Linked DNA regions of Canis lupus familiaris. The protein of the gene in region 3 purifies or fractionates together with the protein of the main gene of each other region. This does not show direct contact. Links are inferred from orthologs where the notes say so. Each region holds a gene or a part of one and is shown on either strand. Other genes may lie near its edges.

Evidence for each region. Proteins that work in one complex are often made in the same cells at the same time.
Region 1: the proteins of RAB7A (region 3) and VDAC1 purify together in Homo sapiens (affinity purification with mass spectrometry; 3 studies listed by BioGRID and IntAct, with this or other methods). This does not show direct contact. The link is inferred for Canis lupus familiaris from reciprocal best matches to the Homo sapiens genes RAB7A and VDAC1.
Region 2: the proteins of RAB7A (region 3) and ARL8B purify together in Homo sapiens (affinity purification with mass spectrometry; 4 studies listed by BioGRID and IntAct, with this or other methods). This does not show direct contact. The link is inferred for Canis lupus familiaris from reciprocal best matches to the Homo sapiens genes RAB7A and ARL8B.

What each region holds. Positions count from the first base shown.
Region 1 is NC_049232.1:22,230,510-22,234,569, forward strand, and holds the start of VDAC1 (voltage-dependent anion-selective channel protein 1), read right to left. Parts: upstream 2,803-4,060; 5' UTR 2,782-2,802; intron 2,258-2,781; exon of another isoform or gene 2,158-2,257; intron 1-2,157. UniProt on the Homo sapiens protein: Non-selective voltage-gated ion channel that mediates the transport of anions and cations through the mitochondrion outer membrane and plasma membrane.
Region 2 is NC_049241.1:12,598,819-12,603,074, forward strand, and holds the start of ARL8B (ADP-ribosylation factor-like protein 8B), read right to left. Parts: upstream 2,803-4,256; 5' UTR 2,605-2,802; coding exon 2,482-2,604; intron 1-2,481. UniProt on the Homo sapiens protein: Small GTPase which cycles between active GTP-bound and inactive GDP-bound states.
Region 3 is NC_049241.1:2,781,980-2,786,114, forward strand, and holds the start of RAB7A (ras-related protein Rab-7a), read left to right. Parts: upstream 1-1,333; 5' UTR 1,334-1,342; coding exon 1,343-1,395; intron 1,396-3,081; coding exon 3,082-3,208; intron 3,209-4,135.

The DNA.
Region 1 (4,060 bases), on a different chromosome or scaffold from region 3:
CAGGGTCAAGCATTTTACCAATCCACTCATCAGAAAGAGGAAAAGCACCAGGCCCAAAACCTTAGGAGAATCCCGACTCACTGGGGTCACCCCACCACCACCACCCTGCAGGCCCAGAAACACCAGTTCTACAAGTTTCCCACAGGATGTGAAAAAGTCACATAACGAAGGTAATAGGTTTAAAGCAGATTTCAAATTAGGAAACAGATCTGCGGGCAGCCCCGGTGGCGCAGTGGTTTAGCACCGCCTACAGCCTGGGTCGTGATCCTGGAGACCCAGGATCGAATCCCACATCGGGCTCCCTGCAGGGAGCCCGCTTCTCCCTCTGCCTGTGTCTCTGCCTCTCTCTCTGTCTCTATGAATAAATAAAATTTAAAAATCTTAAAAAAAAAAAAAAAAAAGGAAACAGATCTGCATCTCAGTGCTCCAGGGCTGTACATTCAACTGCGAGTCTTTAAATATCTGTGACTCTCTCCTAAGCAAGGGTATTTGCTGGAAGTGAATGAGTGTGTGTCCCTTAGGATGTCCAAGATCAAGAAACTCTGGTCTGGGCCTGCATCCACTACATATGCCCATTCAATAATTTCACAAATACTTAATGAGCACCTACTCTAAGCCACATGCTGCCATCGTAAAAACTATCCTTCTCTCAGTAAGGGTGAGTTGCTTCTTGGATAAAAAGCAAGATTGCATTTGCCCCCACAGACCCTTCTCAAGTACCTAATGTGGGTCAAGTGGCACCACCCCAGGCGCTGAAAACAAAGCTGCATAAGGCTTAAGCCTAACCCTGTAGAACTCAGTCCAGAGCTGGGCTGGAGAAACAAGGCAAGCCCTGGGCAGTCTGCCCTGGCCTTGCCAACAGTGAATGCAGAAAAGGAGGGATCCATTCTCTATCTCCTCCAGAGAGGTGAGGCTGGTCAAGGGAATGGGTCAAACAAGGCTAGGCTTCCCTCAGCTCTGCACCCAAAGGCAACTTCCTGCTTCAGCCTGACCTTGTCTGTCTATAAACTTCTATAAGGATTTTTCATGAATTATCCTGAAAATTACTCAGTGCCCAGTATACAAGTGCTTAGTAATAATGTTTAAAATAACAGCAGCTGGCTGTTTATTGAACCCTTTCCAGAACACCACGTGGAGTAAAATGGTCTGCAGAGGATGGGCTAAATCCTCCCAAAAAGCCTCAAGGCTGTCCAGCTTTCCCCTGAAGGCTTCGTGTTGACCAACTCATTTTATTCTTCCCAAAAACCCAACGAGGGAGAGCTGTAACTGCTCCTATTCTACAGATGAGAGCACTCAGGCCTGCTGAGTGTGACCTTGGACAAGTCACTGGGATTGCAAGTCCGGAAATCCAAGGGCTCCGAGCCAGTTTCGTGAAGGCGCCGCCGCGCTCCGTGAATGAACGAGCAAACAAACCGGGAGGCGCTCCAGAGGCCAAGGAGGCCACATCCCGCTCCCGCCGGGCCTCCCTTCCCAAGGCCTAGCCCCCCGCCCGGGCCCTAGAGGCCTAGGACCCGCGGACAAGGCCGGGCGCCAGCGTCCCTGGGCGTGCACCCACGGGCCGGGCAGGGCGTGCGGGGCCGGGGGCCGGGGGCCGGTGCGGGGGCCGGGGCCGGGGCCGGGGCCGGGCTGGGCCTCGGTCATCACAGCGGCTCATCCCCGCGGCCACCGCATGGCCCGCGCCGGTCCGTGGGCCGAGCCCGGCGAGCGTGGGTGGCGGGCGGTCCCCCGCCGGGCCGCGAGGGCGGGACCCAGGTCCAGAGGGCGCCGCCGGCAAAGGTCACCGAGACCTGCAGCCGGCCGGGCCCTCACGCGCGGCCCGTGCCCTTCCGCCCGCGGTCCCCGCGGTCCCCGCAGGCTCGAGCCCCAGCCGCAGGCGCCCCGGGGCGTCCGGCCGCCCGCTCCCCGCCCGGGCCGCCCGCCGAGGCCTGCTGCGCCCGCCGCTGCCCGCCCAGGCCCTCGCGGGGCGCCCCGCTCCCGCCCCGCTCCCGCCCCGCTCCCGCCCCGCTCCGCTCCCCCGCGCCGCCCGGCCCGGCCCGGCCCGGCCCTCGGCCCCCCGTCCGCGCGGCTCCTCCCTCCACCGCCTCCCGCTCAGCTCCCGCGGCCCGGCCCGCCCCCCCGGGCGCCTGCGGGGCGCGGGTCCCCGGCCGAGGTGCCTACCTCGCGGGCGGCGGCGGGCTCGGCGGCGGGCTCGGCGGCACCTACCGCGGAGGCTGCTGCGCGAGGAACCGAGCGCACGGCCGGGCCGAGGGCGGGGCGGGGCGGCGCGGACGGCGGCGGCGCGGACCCGCCCCGACCCTGCGCACCCGGGCACGCGAGCCCCGCCCCTGGGCCCGCCCCGGACACCGCCCAGGCCGGGGCCCGGTCCCCGCGCCCGCGCCCGCGCCCGCGCCCGCCGCCCCCTCCGCGCGCCCTCGGCGCCTGCCCCGACGCGGTGCCCCGGGCGAGTGCGGGCGCGCGGAGGGGGGCGGCGAGGGCCCCGGCGCGGGACGAGGCGGCGCGCGAGGGGTGCGTGCGCGGGGACACGCGTGCCGGCCGCGGCGGCCGAGGGCCAAGCGCCGAGCAACCCGGGTGCGCCGAGCTTTTGCGCTCCAGAGTAGCAGGCACTTTCCCCGGGAGCGAGACTGCCAGTGGCCATTTTCGGAGCTTTTGCGAAGTGAAAACAGCAAACCGCGCTTCGGCAGAACGTCCCCCGCTGGGAGCCCGAGAGCGCAGACGGGAGGCGGGAGCCAGCCCGGGCCCCCGGGGAGCCCCCGCCCCGCCCGAGCCGGCGGCCTCCGTCACCCAGAATTGCGCAGAGCCTCGTGGCCGGTCGGAGGGGCTGCGCGGCTTTGGCCTCCGCCAACAAACGTTCGTTCTCCGCGCCTCGGGGCCCGTGGAGGAGGCAGGGGCTCCGGGACCCCGACGCTCGCTCACCACCAGCTGTGGCGCCGATTAAAGGAGCAGGCGGCTGGGGCGGCGGCAGAGGCCAGAGGACAGGCTGCTGGGCCGAGGGCAGCGGGAGGAGGAAAAGGCAACTGACTGGTGTTCCGATGGGGCCCGGATGCCGAGAAGAAGGGCACCAGCTTATGGGGTTGGGAAGGGGGGGGCGGGGGCGGTGCAAAGTGCACCGGGCTCTGTAGGGGTCTCTGGTCTAAGCACGCTAAACCCCCTGAGGTCCTGGAGCGTGGAGCGCTCATGCTGGAACTCTCCCCAGGCCCACGAGCTGCTCCATGGCTAACTGGAGGGCTCAGAGCTTCCCAGCCTGGTCATTCCCGCTCCACACACAAAGGCCCCGGCACACTCCTGGAGAGGGTGAGGCAAGGAAAGCCACTGAGTCACCCATGAGCGCAGGAAAGCCGCCTTTGGGAGGACAGGACCTCAAGGAGGCAGGGCAGAGCCAGATAGCTCTAGGGGAAGATGGGGCTCCAGAAATGTCACAGGAGCTAGGAGCAGATATCTCACCCTGGGTCAGTAAAGCCCAGGTGTGATGCTTGGACCAAAGGTCCTAAGTGTTCCCCTCCTCTCCAGCACCTCCTTGCCAAACCACCTTTCAGGACCCTGATTGTGGGAAGAGTTCCCCATACCCCACCTGCTCTGGGTCCCTTCTGGGGCTCCCCCAGGTGTCACTTTCAGATGAATCACACGAGTGTTCTTTGACTCACTGGCTGTGTGACTCTGGGCAACTGGGCTAACTGCTCAGCTGCAATTTCAGAGGGTTGGGGCAAGTTTAAAATGGGAAGCAAGCACTCCAAAAACACTGAAGAAATCTGGTGCAACATGGCATCCTCAGACCCTAGTGTTGACTGCTCCCCACCACAGCCCCAAAGGAAGAGCTGAACCAGGCAGCAGGTTATGCCAGGCTTGGCTCTGCCACCTCCAGCCCCACCTTCCTTCTTTCTTGCCAGGTTCGGACTGGAGGGGGGGCACCTGACCCAAGAGCAGCCAATCAGGTCCTCCCTTGCAATTATGAGCTAATAAACCCAGGTCAGGTATAACAGTGTTTCTTTGGAGGGAATGACCCTTCTCTCTCTCCAGTCATTCCATAAGCTTTGATGGAGCTAACTCCATCCCTGACTCCAGG
Region 2 (4,256 bases), about 9.8 Mb from region 3:
GTTCCAGAAGCTCTGCTGTTAAAATAATCTAATATATTTTTTAAATTGGGGCGGGGGGGGGGGGGAGAGTACATGATATGATTATTTGCCACAGTCCATAAATCCACTCTTGGAGCACACATTTGGATAAATCAGATTCAAAGAAGGAAATGAACCCAGCTAATTCCCTTCTGAATATTTTTCAAAACACTGTTTCTGCATTAAAGAAGCAATGTATTGGCTACAAATAACAACAGCTACCACTTACCCAGCCCCTTCTATGGGCAGGCTTGGTGCTAGTCACTTACTATGTGTCATTTCATTTACTTCCCAGAACAACTCTTTAAGAAACATATTATTATCTCTATTTAATAGATGAGAAATCAAGGAGGACTGAAAGAAGATACAAGGCTGCTGAGTGGAAGAGCCAGATTGCAAACCCAGAGTTCCTTGACTTCAAAGTTCTTGCTCATTATAATAAACTACACCATCTATGAAAAACATAATAAGGGGCGCCTGGGTGGTTCAGTGGTTGAGCCTCTGCCGGTGATCCCTGGGGCCTGGGATCGAGTCCTGCATCAGGCTCCCGGTGCATGGAGCCTGCTTCTCCCTCTGCCTGTGTCTCTGCCTCTCTCTCCTGCCTCTCATGGGTAAACAAATAAAATCTTAAAAAAAAAAAAAAAAAAAAGAACATAATAAGCATAATTTTCATGCTCAGGCCTTTAGAAGTTCTTCAAAGACTTACTAAACTTTTTCAAGTTTCCCAAGAATAACTACTCTGCAACAAATACAACAATTAATTGTAGTAATACACCTACATCTACACTATATATTAATTCAGTCTTGTAAAAAAAAAAAAATCAGGTTTACAAGGAGATTCCAATTCTTATCTCTCAAGAGAACACCAGAAAATTTACAGTTAACTAAGTCTTTCCCATATCCTATAAAAGCTCTAGTATGAATATTTAATCTACAGGGATTTTTCTTTAATTTTTATTTATTTATGATAGTCACACAGAGAGGGAGAGAGGCAGAGACACAGGCAGAGGGAGAAGCAGGCTCCATGCACCGGGAGCCCGACGTGGGATTCGATCCCGGGTCTCCAGGATCGCGCCCCGGGCCAAAGGCAGGCGCCAAACCGCTGCGCCACCCAGGGATCCCTCCACAGGGATTTCAAACTAATTTTGGTGCTATCATATACTTTCCACTCTACTATATATGTTGAAAAGTTAGTCATCCCAAGCCAAAACAAAACCCAAAACATCACCACCACCACCACATCACTAGAGGAGCCAAAGAGGAGCCAAACAAGTAGGCAAATTTTCTTTTATACTTATATGCAACGTTCCTCAAAGGAAGTCTGGATCTCTGCTCGTCTTTTTCTTCAAGTCTTACTCACTCCTGCTGCTCCACTACTGCAGGACTAAGAGTCACACGTTACATATTTTCTCCCACAAGGGAGCTGTGTTTGAATCATTCCTGTAACCAAACCAGTTGGGCCACTGGTCTATGAAATAAGGATTTCAACCACCATCTCTAAAAGATGGAAGAACTGCTGCCCTCTCTCTTTAAAACAGTTCCAAAGCTCATGCCTGACAAGTACGAGCACCTATCAGCTACAAGTGAGTCACATCAACTCCGGGCCTCTAAACTGAGATGGAAGAGCATCTTTCTCTCTTATTCCTTCCCCGCAACTAACCACCCAAGCAAAATTCAATCATCATCCTTCCACTCAACCGAGGCTGACTAAATAAGCACCACACTGCGTGCAATACAGGTTCCCAGGGCAAGCTCCCTCCTAGACACCCTTTCCCTGGAGAAGCAGAAGCCCCCCCCCCCCCCCTTAACTGCTTGGCTTAATAAATGCTGCGGACCACCGAGCACTGGACGGGCTGGAAGCGCCCCTCCCCAGTCCCTACCGGCGAGCCCAGGCAGCGCTGAACTTGCTCTCCGCCCCCAGGGGGACCACTGAAAACCAGTAAACTGCGTTACAGGGAGACATCCCGTCCGCGGTGCTCGGGAAGGCGCCCCGCGCCGGCCTGCTGCTCCCCGCACCACGGCGCTCCCCGTCCCGAGCGGCCACTTGAGAGACGCTCCGAGCCTCACGCTTTCTCACGGGGCTGACAGCTCGCCAAATCCCACCCTTCGGGGAAGTGCAGGCTGGAGCGAAGCCTTCAGGTGTCCCCCCACCCCCGCCCCGGAGCAAACCCGATGCGCAGACCCCCATCCCTACAGGCGCGACGAGGCCAACGTGTGCCCCTTCCAAGCCCCCGCCCGCGAGGAGGACCCGGCCGGCCCTTTGCAGAAGGCGGCGGCCGGGCGCGGCGCACCACAGCACGCGGGAACCCCGGCCCCCGGCCCCCGGCCCCAGCCCGCGGAGGGGGCAGGAACGGCTGACCTCCTCCCCTCGTCCCACTCCCATTAGCCCCGTCGCGCTGACGGCAGCCCCGGCCCGGGCCTTCGGGCCGGCGCCGGGCCGGACTCGCGGACGGCGGCACTCACCGCGATGACATTGACGAAGGTGGTCTTGCCCGAGTACTGCAGCCCCACCAGCGTCAGCTCCATCTCCTCCTTCCAGAAGAGCGAGCGAAACCAGTCCAGCAGGCGGGAGATGAGCGCCAGCATGATGGCGGCCGGGAGGGAGAACGCGCGGGCGGCCGGGCGGGCGGGCGGCGGCGGCGGCGGCGGCGGCGGCAGCGACGGCTTCCACTCGAGCGGGCCTCAGCCCCGACCCCTCAACGGCTCCTCGGGGCCGCGGCGCACCACTGGCGGACACGGGCGGGCGGCGGCGGCCGGAGCCAGGAAGCCGAGCGGGTCATATGACTCGCCCTGCCCCCCACGCTCGTCCCCGCGCCACCGGCGGCGCCCACGGCAAGAGCGACGTGGCCCGGGCGGCCGGGCGCGGCTGCCGCCTGCAGCGCCACCTGCTGGAGCCTCCGCGAAGCGCCGCGTACCGGGGAGCGGCCCTGGGAGCGGCCCCAGGGCTCCCCACCTGCGCTGCTGGCTGGCTCCTAACAGGGGTCAGCTCGCTCTTGCTGCAACCGTTTATGGACAGTCGGCTCTCCGCGGAAAGTCTTCAACGCGCGAGCCACTCGCCATGCAGCGAAGACCTCTTCCTACATTTTTGGTCGTCGCAAAAGATGGGAAGCCCTAAGTGTTGTATCAAGGGGGAACCGATTTAAAAAAACCCCGAGTGTGCGACCCAGCCATTGCACTGCTGGGGATTTACCCCAAAGATGCAGATGCAGGGAAACGGCAGGTCACCTGCACCCCGGTGTTTCTAGCAGCAATGTCCACAGTAGCCAAACTGTGGGAGGAGCCTAGGGGTCCATCGAAAGATGAGTGGATAAAGAAGATGTGGTCTATGTATACAGTGGAATATTACTCAGCCATGAGAAAGGATGAATACCCACCATTTGCTTCGACGTGGATGGAACTGGAGGGTATTATGCTGAGTGAAGCAAGTCAATCGGAGAAGGACAAACATTATATGGTCTCATTCATTTGGGGAATATAAAAATTAGTGAAAGGGAATAAAGGGAAAGGAGAGAAAATGAGTGAAAGTATCAGTGAGAGGGGGATCCCTGGGTGGCTCAGTGTTTTAGCACCTGCCTTTGGCCCAGGGCGCAATCCTGGAGACCCGGGATCGAGTCCCGCATCAGGCTCCCGGTGCATGGAGCCTGCTCCATCCTCCTGTGTCTCTGCCTCTCTCTCTCTCTTTCTATGTCTATCATAAATAAATAAATAAATAAATATTTAAAAAAGAAGAAAGAAAGAAAGAAAGAAAGAAAGAAAGAAAGAAAGAAAGAAAGAAAGAAAGAAAGAAAAAGGAAGGAAGGAAGGAAGGAAGGAAGGAAGAAAGAAAGAAAGAAAGAAAGAAAGAAAGAAAGAAAGAAAGAAAGAAAGAAAGAAAGAAAGAAAGAAAGAAAGAAAGAATCAGTGAGAAATACAGAACATGAGAGACTCCTAACTCTGGGAAATGAATAAGGGGTGGTGGAAGGGAGGTGGGCAGGCGGTTGGGGTGACTGGGTGATGGGCATTGAGGGGGGCACTTGGCAGGATGAGCACTGGGTGTTATGCTATATGTTGGCAAATTGAACTCCAATAAAAAATATACAAAAAAATTTAAATTGGGGATCCCTGCGTGGCTCAGCAGTGTAGCACCACCTTTGGCTCAGGGCATGATCCCAGAGTCCCTGGATCCAGTCCCACGTTGGGCTCCCTGCATGGAGCCTGCTTCTCCCTCTGCCTGTGTCTCTGCCTCTCTCTCTCTCTCT
Region 3 (4,135 bases):
TTCCTGATTATAGAGAAGAATGCAGGCCTTCTGCTGGGGATTCCAGCTGTCTGAGGAGTGATCCTCCAGCAGTCTTAGGTAAGTTGCTAACATTGGAGTCCGGAATATAGGACTCCTGCTTTTCTGAAACTCAGAATCAGGTTCAGGAGACCAAGGGATAATTAAGACAGGAACCCTGCCTTAGTAAGTAAATAGGGGCAGATTTCTGGAATAGAGATAAGCAAAAATGAGGCATCTTACATATTGTCTAGCCAGGCTGCCTGAAAGGTTCTTTCTTTTCTTTTCTTTTCTTTTCTTTTCTTTTCTTTTCTTTTCTTTTCTTTTCTTTCTTTCTTTCTTTTTTTTTTGATTTTTTTTTATTTATTCATGAGAGGCACACACAGAGAGCGAGGCAGAAACACAGGCAGAGGGAGAAGCAAGCTCCATGCAGAGAGCCCAATGTGGGACTCGATCCCCCATCTCCAGGATCAGGCCCCGGGCTGAAGGCAGCCCTAAACCACTGAGCCACCTGGGCTGCCCTGAAAGGTTTTCTAGAAAAGGGTGATCTCAAGAGCTGCAGGTCAACAAGTATTGTTCTCACACCAACCCCAATTTTTTTTTAATTTTTTTTTTTTTTTTTTTTTTTATGATAGAGAGAGAGAGAGAGGCAGAGACACAGGCAGAGGGAGAAGCAGGCTCCATGCACCGGGAGCCCGATGTGGGATTCGATCCCGGGTCTCCAGGATCGTGCCCTGGGCCAAAGGCAGGCGCCAAACCGCTGTGCCCCCAGGGATCCCCCAACCCCAATATTTGATAATTGTTCTCTACTTGGCACTGGAGATGCAGTGGGGAATAAAACTGTCTTGGTGGAAGTTGTTGGAGAAGGGAGAAAACAAATTAATAGATTTGGATGTCAAGTAGTGGTAAGTGCTCTGAAGAAAAAAAGTAAGGCAATGTAAAGGGTTAGAGAGCAGATGGGGAGAGGGTGTGCCACTTTAGATAAAGTGATCATGTCTCTGAGGAAGTGCTATGTGAGCAGAGACTTGAATGAAGCAGGGCCTAGTTGTTAAATTGAACATTAATCCACAGTGATCCAGCAACATCTGAGAGGGAGAATCCATCCTTTTAGACTGCTCCAAGGGGCAGGATGACCCTGCCTCTCATGATTTTGCCCAGCTTGTGTCCAAAGTTCTAAGATTGATTCTGCTTTCTGTCTGGTCCCCCTGGGTGGCAGGGAAATAGCTAAATGGGAAGGCTTAGTGCTCCTGGGGCTGTGTTGATGCTTGTACAGAGGGATGAGGTTTGCCTGGGTATTTCTGTCACGCTCACAAGTACTTTCTCCTTTCTCCTTTTAGTTTGAAGGATGACCTCTAGGAAGAAAGTGTTGCTGAAGGTTATCATCCTGGGAGATTCTGGGTAAGTTTGAAGTAACAGATTGGTTTGGATTAAATGTGACTTTGAAGCCATGCCCTCCCTGCTCACATTTGCCACTTCTCTAATAGTAGTGGCAGTAGGGTTCTAGGTCTCTTGCCATTTCCAGCACAGCAGATTTTTTTTTTTTAAGCACAGCAGAAATTTTAATGATCTCTTAGTCTGTAATCCTTGGTTCCCTGGTCTTTGGCATGATTTAGGGGAAGGAGTAGCCATTTAAACTCAAGAACGGTTTCACTGGAATCTCTTTTTTCTGAGCTGATTAGACAAGGGAGTTCTGTTCATGTGTAGATTTGTTGCCACTGACCTCATGCCTACCAGTTGTGGGTTTGGAGTCTGGATACAGCTGTGCAGTATCTTCCCACTACTGGGTCTGATTTGGGGTGTATCTGAAAGAACCTGCGACTGGAAAACTGGGTTCTGATCCTAGATCTGCCACTAATTAAGTGACTAACTCTTCAGTAGCTGTTAACGATTCTGTGGGAGGCTTTTCAGACTCAGCATCTGATGTGACCTGGAAACCTTAGACCAACTAGAAGCTATGTATTTTTTTTAAATGATGATGATGATGATGATGATGATGATGATAAATCCAGGTGTGCCTCCTTACACGAAAGTTCCCTGCCCTTTAAGAAGGCAGTGATTTTTCTACCCTGTCTGGCTTTTCTGATTGCCCTGAGGAGCTTTTCAAAAGTAAGCATTTTTCCAGACCATTGTGTTGGGCCTCATTGGCAGTACTTAAATACATATATCTCTCTGTCTCCCTCCTCCCTCCTTCCTGGTGACCACTGTGCTGTCAGGAATGAAAGGTACTGTTTTAGGCCCAAACTTGCATGGGAAAAATCACCGGGCCTTTATTTGATTAGAGACCTCCTGACCTCTCCCCTGAAAATTCAGACCCAGGTGACCTGGATTGGAGAACACTGCCTTAAGCCATAACTTACTTCCAGGTCCTCTGCCTATGAAGATGAATATGTTCCTTAGAGGGAAAGGAAGGTGATCCTGTTGACTTGGAAGAAGACTTTTATGTTATCTTCAGCCTGCCCTAACTAATCTCATCACCAAAAAAAATCCACACATTGTCTCTTACTGAGTTTTCTTACTGAAAAACTTCCCTGGAGGAGCTTACTCTGAGGTAGATTCTGATTTGGTGGGAATATTGATGCTTTCCTCACTTCAGATTTTAATCTTTGAAGTAGCAGGTGGCTGACTGGCATATATGTCTGCTCATAGCCAGTGACTTTCTCCTGCTATTACTTTCTTGGACTGAATATCAGCCCCTAAATGGAGAGACACCCAGGACAGCAGAGATATTTTTAGAATGGTGGCAGGATCTTATTGCTGTAGCTTCTTTTAGAAAGAGAGTATTTGCTGACATCTTTCTGGAAGGAAAAAAATAATACTAAGTTCTACCATCTGAGTTACTTGTACCAAAACTTAAGAGCAGCTTTTCAACATCTGATCCACATCTATAGCCCTGTACTTTTGTTCCAGGAGAAAATAAAACCTCGAATGAGTAACACTGAGCAGTTTGCTGGCACTATCCTCTGTTGTGATTACAGTTGCTTGTTATCCTTTAAGCTGGCAAGTATCTTCAGAGCTGCAAATATCAGAATCATTTTTCTGCCCCTTCTAACTTGACCTATACTTGTGGTTTTTCTCCAATTTCAGAGTTGGTAAGACATCACTCATGAACCAGTATGTGAACAAGAAATTCAGTAATCAGTACAAAGCTACAATAGGAGCAGACTTTCTGACAAAGGAGGTGATGGTGGATGACAGACTAGTTACAATGCAGGTAAGCACACATCTCAACTTTGTCACCCAAGCCTTGTTCATTCAGTCTGAACTCTTTTGTTCATGCCTAGGCATTTTCCCACCCCATTCCTCATTTCCCACTACTATATTCATGGATAATTGGTCGCAGGTAGGATGGCCAGATACAAATACAGGACATCAGGTATGACCCAGGCATTGCATGAGACATACTAGAAATTTTTCATTGGTTTTCCAAAGTTCAAATTTAATTGGAGTTCCTGGTTTTTTGTTGGTTTGGTTTGTGTTTTTTGTTTTTGCTGAATTTGATAACATACAGGCCCAAACTTTTGTCTCCAAAATGTTTAACTCATTCCTTTCTCTTAATATCCCCACATGGGGGACGCCTGGGTGGCTCAGCAGTTGAGCGTCTGACTTTGGCTCAGAGCATGATCCCGGGGTCTGGGATCAAGTCTCGAATCAGGCTCCCCTTGGGGAGCCTGCCTCTCTCTCTGTCTGTGTCTCTGGGTGCTCCCCCCCCCGCCCATGTCTCATGAATAAAGAAATAAAATCTTAAAAACAAAAATCGCCACATAGTATTTTAGGTCAGAATATCTTTGGGTCTCTCCTAGATTCTTATAGTAGCTGTTAATGTAGTTTCCCTGTTTTTCTGACTTTTAATCTGTCCTATCTATAGCCACCAACTTTGTATTTCTGTTAAGTTAGCCTGGCTTTTTTGTGTATCACCTTACTTTAATCTTTCAGGGGGTTTCCCTTGCAACAGTTAGGATAAAATACACATTCCTTAATATGACCTTTTGAAAGTCTTTGCATTCTGACTACAAACTATTCTTCACTTTTTGTCTTTTTCCAGTCCTTCCAAACCATGTGCTGCTTTTAACAAGCTGTCGTTGCACCTGTCTGCCTCCATCCCAACCCCTTTGTCCCATCTCCATCCCAACCCCTTTGT